Linked DNA regions of Rattus norvegicus. The protein of the gene in region 1 purifies or fractionates together with the protein of each later gene. This does not show direct contact. Links are inferred from orthologs where the notes say so. Each region holds a gene or a part of one and is shown on either strand. Other genes may lie near its edges.

Region 1 (3,811 bases):
ACAGACGCATGCTATAGATGTCACTAGCCCTGTGTAACGTCCCTAGAGTGCTAGGAGCCACTGAAGTTACATGGGTCTTTCCTGATTTTAGCCATTGTCTTCCTCCTGCAGGAGTTGGTGATTTCAGCGTATGGGAGTTCTCTGGAAACCCTGTGTACTTCTGTTGCTATGACTACTTCGCCGCCAACGATCCCACATCCATCCACATCATCGTTTTCAGTCTCGAAGAACCCTATGAGATCCAGCTGAACCAAGTGATTTTCTGGCTTAGTTTCTTGAAGTCTCTGGTCTCAGTTGAAGAACCCATAGGTGAGTGAGGTCCTTTCTTTCCCCCCGAGATGTTTCTATTGAGGTCGTCACACTGGCTACACTCACACCCTACAGAATGGCACTCCTGGCTGTGGCTTCCTCCCAGTCCTGAGACATCCTTGGTAGCCACTTCTCTCCTCTGGTGCAATTCAGCGCTAAGGGCATCATTGCTGACTGCACAGCGGAGTCTTCCATCCATGGCCCCTGCTTTCTTCTGGAGAGTATTGAACTATTCATCAGTGGAAGGGTTACCCTTCAGTCTGCAGCTCCACGCAGCCTTGGTGAAAAGGAGCAGTGGCTTGGCCTCAGCACACTGGCTAGAGGAGAGGGTGATGGAATGGACTTTGGGCCCAGTGAGATTTATTGCAAGTGTATTCGTTGTCTTTGTGCAGGGTGATGTTCAGAAGCCAGCTTCTGTCTCTAGGGAACCCATGCTTATGACATCAGCTGGCTGACCTCCCAGAGGAAGCCATTTTGCCTCTTATTTCTCCCTTGTCATATCTCTTTTGAAACACTTCTATGAGGAATGGCCCTGCCTGTGTGAGTTAGAGACAGCTTCTCTCTTGGCTGTGTCAGGTGTATGGCTACATTCAGAAGGGTTCCTTTCTCCCTGCCCCAGCTGCCCCCTCCACCATGAAAGCTGACTTTGGTTGCAGATTCTCTGCCTGCATGTCAAAGCCTATTTAAAGACACCCCTAAGAGCTACTCTTTGTGTTGCAGTCTGCTCTGATCTCTGCTGAGGTCTCTTGTGGAGGACCAGGACCAGAGGCCACACTCCATAATGTAGCCCTTGAGTCTGTGTGCAGGTTACACATCACCTACACAGGTGGTCTAGGCATGAGACCAACACAGCCAGAGAAGAGATCAGACTCTCACAAGGTATACTTTCTCCCTCAGCATTTGGAGGCAAGCTGAAGAACCCTCTCCGAGTTGTCCTGGTGGCCACACATGCTGACATCATGAACATCCCTCGGCCTGCTGGGGGCGAGTTTGGATATGATAAAGATACATCCTTGCTGAAAGAGATCAGGAACAGGTGAGGGCGGCCGGCTGGTGGGAACAGGTGAGGGCAGCCTGCTGGTGGAAGCAGGTGAGGAGAGCCTCTTAGGAGGTAGGGTGAGCATCTGTCCTGGGGGATGACCGATCCGGTAAGATGATGGGGCAGAGGGCATGTGGTCATGCTGGGTGGGCTGGCATGTGGTGGCTGAAGGAACTTTCATCATTGGTTGAGTTTTTCATTTTCATCAAAACAAATCTCTCTAGACACAGAGAGACACAAAAGATCACAGTTCTCCTGTTCTCACCCAGCACCCTCCACACAGACTTCTGCTCTCATCATGGAATGGGGCAGGAAGAATAGGGAAGATCGGAGTGCTTCTCCTGTCAGTGCGATCATACAAGTCCTGTGTTTCTCTTATAAAGCAGTATAAAAACATAACTTTAAGTTTAGAATCTGTTAGTGATGTTAGGTAATGTAAAGATATGCCTGAAGTTGGGTAGGTAATAACAGATGTATTTAGCTTAGGAGGAGGGAGGTCTAAGCCCCATTTGTGACGTCCCCTGGATAACATCACTTCCCGGTGTGTGGCATCATGGTGGAGCGCATGTAAGGGTGGGAATTCAGAGAGGTTTAGGGATTAGGCTCTCTTGATACTTCACACGTCCCACAGAAACTACTTCGTTAACACATATCACCACACTGGGGAGAGGGCCCCTATAACACAGGCACCCTAGAGGACAGACCTCATCCAAACTCTAGCAGGCTTCAAGGCTCCACCAACAAGTTTGAACTTGGGTGCTGGAGAGATAACTTGGCAGTTAAGGGCACTGGCAGCTCTTCGAGAGGACCTGAAATTTGTTCCCAGCACCCACACATGCAACTGCCTGTAACTTCAGTTCTAGGGGATCTAATGTTCCCTTGTGACCTCTGTGGGCTCCCAAACACAGGTGGTATATACACAGAGGTGTGTACACACGAATAAAAAAATAAAACAAATCTTTAAAACACAAAATTGAACTTGCAGCTTCCTGTAGCATGCTGGCACTCAGGTGTTGAATTACCTGTGAGAGACACAGTGTTTTCTTCCGCCATGCAAAGTGGTCTTTTGTGAACATTTTTAGGTCAGATGTGTAACTTTCTTATTCTGCTTGTGATCTTAGCCCTGCACCACCACCAGTATTTCCTCCCCTCCCTCGGAAAGTAAACACATACGCCTCTGCATCAGGTGGCTCTGACATTTACATTCTTTTCTTCTACCTGTGCTCAAACCCCAGACTCCCAATTATGTGATTGAGGGTGTGCAATTACCAGGTATGACTTACCAGAGGGACCAGCAGGATTCACCCAACAGCAGGGACAGAGAGGCTCCTTCAGGGTCACCACGACCCTTCCTCCTTCCCTCCCATCGGCCATTAGGGCCAGTAGGAACTTGGCCCCTGTGTGGAAAGACCTAAAGTTGACTGAGAGCTGATTTCACTCCTGCTCTTGCCATAGGTTTGGGAATGACCTTCATGTCTCAAATAAGCTGTTTGTGCTGGATGCAGGAGCATCTGGGTCTAAGGACATCAAGGTTCTCCGGAATCACCTGCAAGAAATACGGAGTCAGATTGTCTCGGTGAGTACACATGGAGGGGCCGGGACCCCACTGTGGGGATGCCAGCACTGACCAGCACGCTGACCCTGCTCTAGTGGCCCCAGTTTGGCTTGGTTTTCAGGGGGACAGGTAGACAGTAGAAGCTGGGAATGAAGTCTGTTTCCGTGTGATTCTCCTGTTTCTCTGGAAGAGGCAGGAAGAGAGAGAGAGCAACATAGACAAGGAAGGAGATAGAGGGTCCAATAGTGGACCATCTCAGGGTGCATCAAGTTCTTATTTTGTTTCCTGGCTTCTTTAAATATAAAATTTCTTTTTATAAATCCCAACACCAATTCTAGTTTGCTTTATTTTAGTGTGTGTAACAAATTCAGAACAGAAAAGTAGTCACTGATGAGATTTACTAAAGGATGTGTATTGATGGGTGAAGACACACTGGATGAGACTGTTCTCATTGACACATTGGATGAGACTGTTCTCATTGACACATTGGATGAGACTGTTCTCATTGACACATTGGATGAGACTGTTCTCATTGACAAAATGGATGAGACTGTATTCTCATTGACACAATGGATGAGACTGTATTCTCATTGACACATTGGATGAGACTGTGTTCTCTTTGACACATTGGATGAGATTGTTCTTATTGACACAATGGATGAGACTGTGTTCTCATTGACACACTTGAAGAGACTGTTCTCATTGACACACTGGAAGAGACTGTTCTCATTGACACATTGGATGAGACTGTGTTCTCATTGACACATTGGATGAGACTGTTCTCATTGACACATTGGATGAGACTGTTCTCATTGACACATTGGATGAGACTGTTCTCATTGACACATTGGATGAGACTGTTCTCATTGACACATTGGAAGAGACTGTTCTCATTGACACATTGGATG
Region 2 (4,421 bases), on another chromosome or scaffold:
GTCACTGATGTAGCGACACTCACTGCTGGGGAAGATGCCACCATGTCTACCTTTTTACATGGCTCTGGAGCCTTGAATTCAGACTGTGCTGCCCGGTCAGCTAGAGAGTTCTTACCTCGTTGACCAGGACCCAGGGCACATACTCATGGGGTGGCTGTAGGGCATCTGTGAGCTGGGCGTTCTCATGCATCAGCTCTGTGCCTCGTTTTCCGGTGGCACACTCCATGATGCTTTCTGGTGACACCTCTGGAACATACAGCTGCAGGCACTGTGAGAAGAGGAGGACACATTGCTTAGTTCACTCGTTATTTCGCCATCAGTCCCCAGGTGGCCCCAGATAAGCCTCTCCCCTCTCACTGTCTGCCTGGGTGGAGGTTCCTTGAAACTGAGTCTTTGGGTGCTCTTGCCTCCCAGTAACACCGGATTTGCAGCCTCTGCCCCCTGGTATCTCATTATCTCAGGGCCTTCTTACAAGATCCCTCTGCTGGCAACACCCTGCTCCTTCCTTGGTGTCTCCTAGGTGCTCGTCCTCCTTCATTCTCCAGTCATATCAAAGGGGCAGCGCTGGAAATGTCCCTCAGGTTCGAGGAGGCTGGGCGGCCACAGTAGCGATTGGAGAGTTGTGAATCAATCTTTGGACTTGGACGTTATTTCCCACAATGCCCTGGCTTATCTCCTGTCACCTATCTTGTGTCTACAGAGAGTGAAGATCCCAGGCTCTGCTCATAGATCTAAAGGTTTTCCCGTATAAAAACTATATGGGCAAAGTCACGCCCAGGGCTAGGGTAGTGTGATGTGGGGCAGAGCCGCTGCCTGGAACCCCCAAGTGAGGGCCTGGGGGCGTGGCTCTGGGGTGGAACCCCTGCGCAGATACTGGAGACCTGGCTGCGCAGCCTCCCACGCACTAACTCACCGGGCCCAGTTTCTTCTCCATGTCCTCCATCTCCTCCATACAGACGATGGTTAGGAATGCCGCCTCCTTTTCCAGCTTGTCCAGCAGACAGGCCTGGAGAAGCAGGCAAGTGTTATGGGGAGAAAGTGGCCAACCCTGCCTCCCTCCATGGCGGATCTGCACTCCAGCTTACCTCCACCTTGTTCAGTTTACACTCCAGCTCCCCGTGCTGGCACGTGAACTCCCATGTACCGCTGACATTTCTCTCCTGCAAGATAAGGATAGATCTTGGTGAGCGCAGGTGACCAGGCGTTCCTGTCCCAAGGCATCCCTCCCAGCTTCAGTCGCTTCCCGCCCCCCTCCAGCACCTGTGCGTTCCCGTAGGGCACCAGAGTGATGTTCATGATTTCCATAACCATCAGCCAGGTTGGGAACAAATTTCGGACGAGGAAGTAGCGACAAGCTCCACACAGGGACTCATAATAGAGGCTGACATTGACAGGTGGTGCAGAGAGCAACCGGCGTGGCCCGAAGAGGCACAGGTCGTGGGCCTGAAAGGAAGAGAGGCATCTGGTGAGGTGCAGCCCGGGTCATCCCCAGGCTTCCGAGCCCGGTCACCCCTGCAGAGGGCAGTCCTATGACAAGTTGCTTATAGTTCCGTTCAGCCTTGTGGCACTGGGACTAGAGGTCTCTGCGCATGTGGGGTGAGCGGTCTCCTGATGAGCCACGCCCCGGCCCCTCTGAGGTTTTCTAGTCTCTAGATCGTGTTCCGCAATCACAGTTTATCTACAAAAAACGGAACCTGACAGGCTCTCAAACAGTAGGTGGTCAGTGAATGCACAATCTTTAACTATATTCAGGAAGTGCTAAGACATGCATATTTCTAGCACTTGGGAGGCAGTGGAAGAGCTCAAGGCCAGCATGGTCTACTACATAGTGAGTTCCAGGACAGTCAGCGCTACACTGAGACTCTGTCCCGTCAACAAACAAAACAGAAAACCAAACCTAATCAAAACAATAACAAAACAAGAGAACTAAAGTAAAAGAAAAATAAGATATACATATTTCTAGTTGCCGCTCTCTCTCAGCCTTGTCTGTTTGGAGATGCACACTCTGAAGCCAAATACAAGCGCTCGCGCCCTCCTCCCTTCCCCCCTTTCTCCCCCTTCCTCCCTCTCTCCCCCGTGCCCCCTCACTCTATTTATTCTTCCTCTCCAGGGACCCAGGGGAACTTCACCCAGTCTGACGCCCGACTAGACACAGGAGGTGACTGATGCGTACAGACTTCCGGTCCCCAGGGAGGGCGGGCCAGAATCTGAGCACCGCTCTAGGTGCACGGGGCATGTGTTTGCTCCATGTCAGAAGCTCGTTAGCCCTCTCTTCTTTGGCTGGAACGCACGCGGTAAGCGACAAGAATTGCGTGAGAGTGGAGACCAGACAGTAGCTCAACAGGTCTGGAGCAGAACACTCCCCTACATGCCGCGCGCGTGCCCATCCCTCAGCTCTTGACTCAAACATATACCGTAGGTGGTTGATAAATGCTCAGGCAAGGCGGGCAGGGGATAGCTGCGCTTTTCAGACCTAAGAGGGGAAACGAAGGACGTGGACACGGTGCTCAGTGTCCGGGGACTGGATTAGGGGTGGTGGCCCTGAACCTGACAACTTTCCCTGGAGACTTTGGAATTCCCCGAATGAGTTCACGGAATAAGTGCAGAGAAGTCCCTATGCTGACAGACTGGCGGGCCCCTTCCTGCGTCGTGGTTCCTACCTTGCAGGTGGCTGCGCCCTCGGAGGATCCTTGCGGCAGGGACGCAGTGGCTGCTCTGGGAACCTCGGGTAGGAACAGCAGAAGCAAAAGGGACAAGAATGGTACGAGCGGAGAACAGGACATGGCTGAGGAGAAAAAAGCTTGGCCAGGCCGGGGAGGCGGGAGACTTTAAGCAAGTGGATGCTCCACCCACTGAGACCACGCCCACACAGGTTCCTCCTAACTCTGGGCCCCCTTTCCTCAAGGCTCCGCTCCAGCCAGGTGCTAGCCCCAAATCACGAGGCCACAGGACTCTGTCTAGCCTTGTGTTCTCCGCAGCCAGTATGTCCGGTCACGTGAGGCTTTTGGATCAAGGGACGGGAAGGAGGACTCCAGACAATAACCGACCGAGGGACATAAGGCAGAGTCCTCATGTCCTTCCTTTGAGCTCAGTGGAGGTCGGGGAGTGATACAGACTCCTCACTAATTCTTACCCCCACCACTCCAGGTCAGAGCAAGCCAGCCCCGTCGGGCACATCCCCCGACCTCTGCTGATTATGGCCCTAGCACAGAAGCTAGCTCAGCCAGGGCAACTCCCCATCTCTGAGGTCCTGGGCCCTGGCTTGGGTTGAGGACAGAGCTGGGGTACTTGCTTCCAGCAACAGAGTGTGTAGGCGGAGATGTGCCTGGACTCCAGGACTCTGCCTCTTTCCATCAGCTGCGGTTTCCCGGCCTCTGAAATGGGGCACGAGTGACACAATGACTGTGGATAGTCACCACGAAAAAAAAAAATCAGAGGTGACCTAGGCTGGGACTGGAGCCTCTGCACCAAGTCAGATTGAAAGCTGAACACTGGGTCCCTGGAGCAGTGACAAGCCACAGAACAGCAGCACCAGCAGGAAAAGTTCCAGTTCCAAGTGTGAGAAACCCTGGTTTTTTGTTCAGGAGACAGCAAGCTAGAGAGGATGGCGATTTCCAGCGTTCAGAAGCTGATAGGGACAGCTACAGGCTGAGAGGCTCTGTTCTAACCAAGACTTGGTATTCCCACCCCGACCCCTCTGCAAGCTCGGCAAAGATCTCCCCTGAGCCATGCCCCCAGCCCCTCATTGGGAGATTCTGAGGGAGGGGTTCTGCCGAGACATGCCCCCAAGCACAGGTAACATTTGTTTTCCTTAATGTTGATTCGTGTCTCTCCAACTAACAAGCTTGTGGTTCTGCCTCAGCTTCCCAGGATCTGGGACCACAAGGTACTGTTTGTCTTAGGTCAGTCGCAGGATGCAGCAAAGACCAAGGCCAACTGAACCCCATAGGGTAGTAGGTCAGGGATGGGCTCTGTCCATTCCTGGCCTAGCTGAGTCCAAAGGTGCTCTCAGAAGATAGTGACACACTGACTGGTGCAGATGGGGGAGGGGGAAGTACTCAGGGAAGTAGTCACAGGCACAAGTCTTGATGTGTTCCTAGCAGGACTATTAGGTTTCCCAATTTTGCTAATGAGCACAGGCCCTGGGCTCTTTCAGCAGGTGTGCAGAGGGGCCAGACCTTGGCCTCCCCTCACAACTCAGGGAGACTAGGGACAGGAGACACCTGCCTGAGTGGCTGAGAGGTTGTTGCCACCTCTCTTCCCGATGAGGAAGTTAGGGACCACATGGACGTCACTTGAGGACAGACACAGCTGGTGCCTGCCTGAGCACCCTGGAACTGGGACACCAGAGGAGGGGCTGTTCATGGGTTTGGGGTTCTTCCAGGATATGAGTATGGGGCAGGGCCAAGTTGCACCGCTGT

The links.
Region 2: the proteins of Dapk1 (region 1) and Ifi30 purify together in Homo sapiens (affinity purification with mass spectrometry; 3 studies listed by BioGRID and IntAct, counting the BioPlex papers as one, with this or other methods). This does not show direct contact. The link is inferred for Rattus norvegicus from reciprocal best matches to the Homo sapiens genes DAPK1 and IFI30.

Annotation. Positions count from the first base shown.
Region 1 is NC_086035.1:3,946,573-3,950,383, reverse strand, and holds part of Dapk1 (death-associated protein kinase 1), read left to right. Parts: intron 1-111; coding exon 112-309; intron 310-1,206; coding exon 1,207-1,345; intron 1,346-2,803; coding exon 2,804-2,924; intron 2,925-3,811. UniProt on the Homo sapiens protein: Calcium/calmodulin-dependent serine/threonine kinase involved in multiple cellular signaling pathways that trigger cell survival, apoptosis, and autophagy.
Region 2 is NC_086034.1:18,708,127-18,712,547, reverse strand, and holds the start of Ifi30 (gamma-interferon-inducible lysosomal thiol reductase precursor), read right to left. Parts: upstream 2,979-4,421; 5' UTR 2,784-2,978; coding exon 2,661-2,783; intron 1,444-2,660; coding exon 1,261-1,443; intron 1,161-1,260; coding exon 1,086-1,160; intron 1,007-1,085; coding exon 914-1,006; intron 269-913; coding exon 116-268; intron 1-115. UniProt on the Homo sapiens protein: Lysosomal thiol reductase that can reduce protein disulfide bonds. May facilitate the complete unfolding of proteins destined for lysosomal degradation. Plays an important role in antigen processing.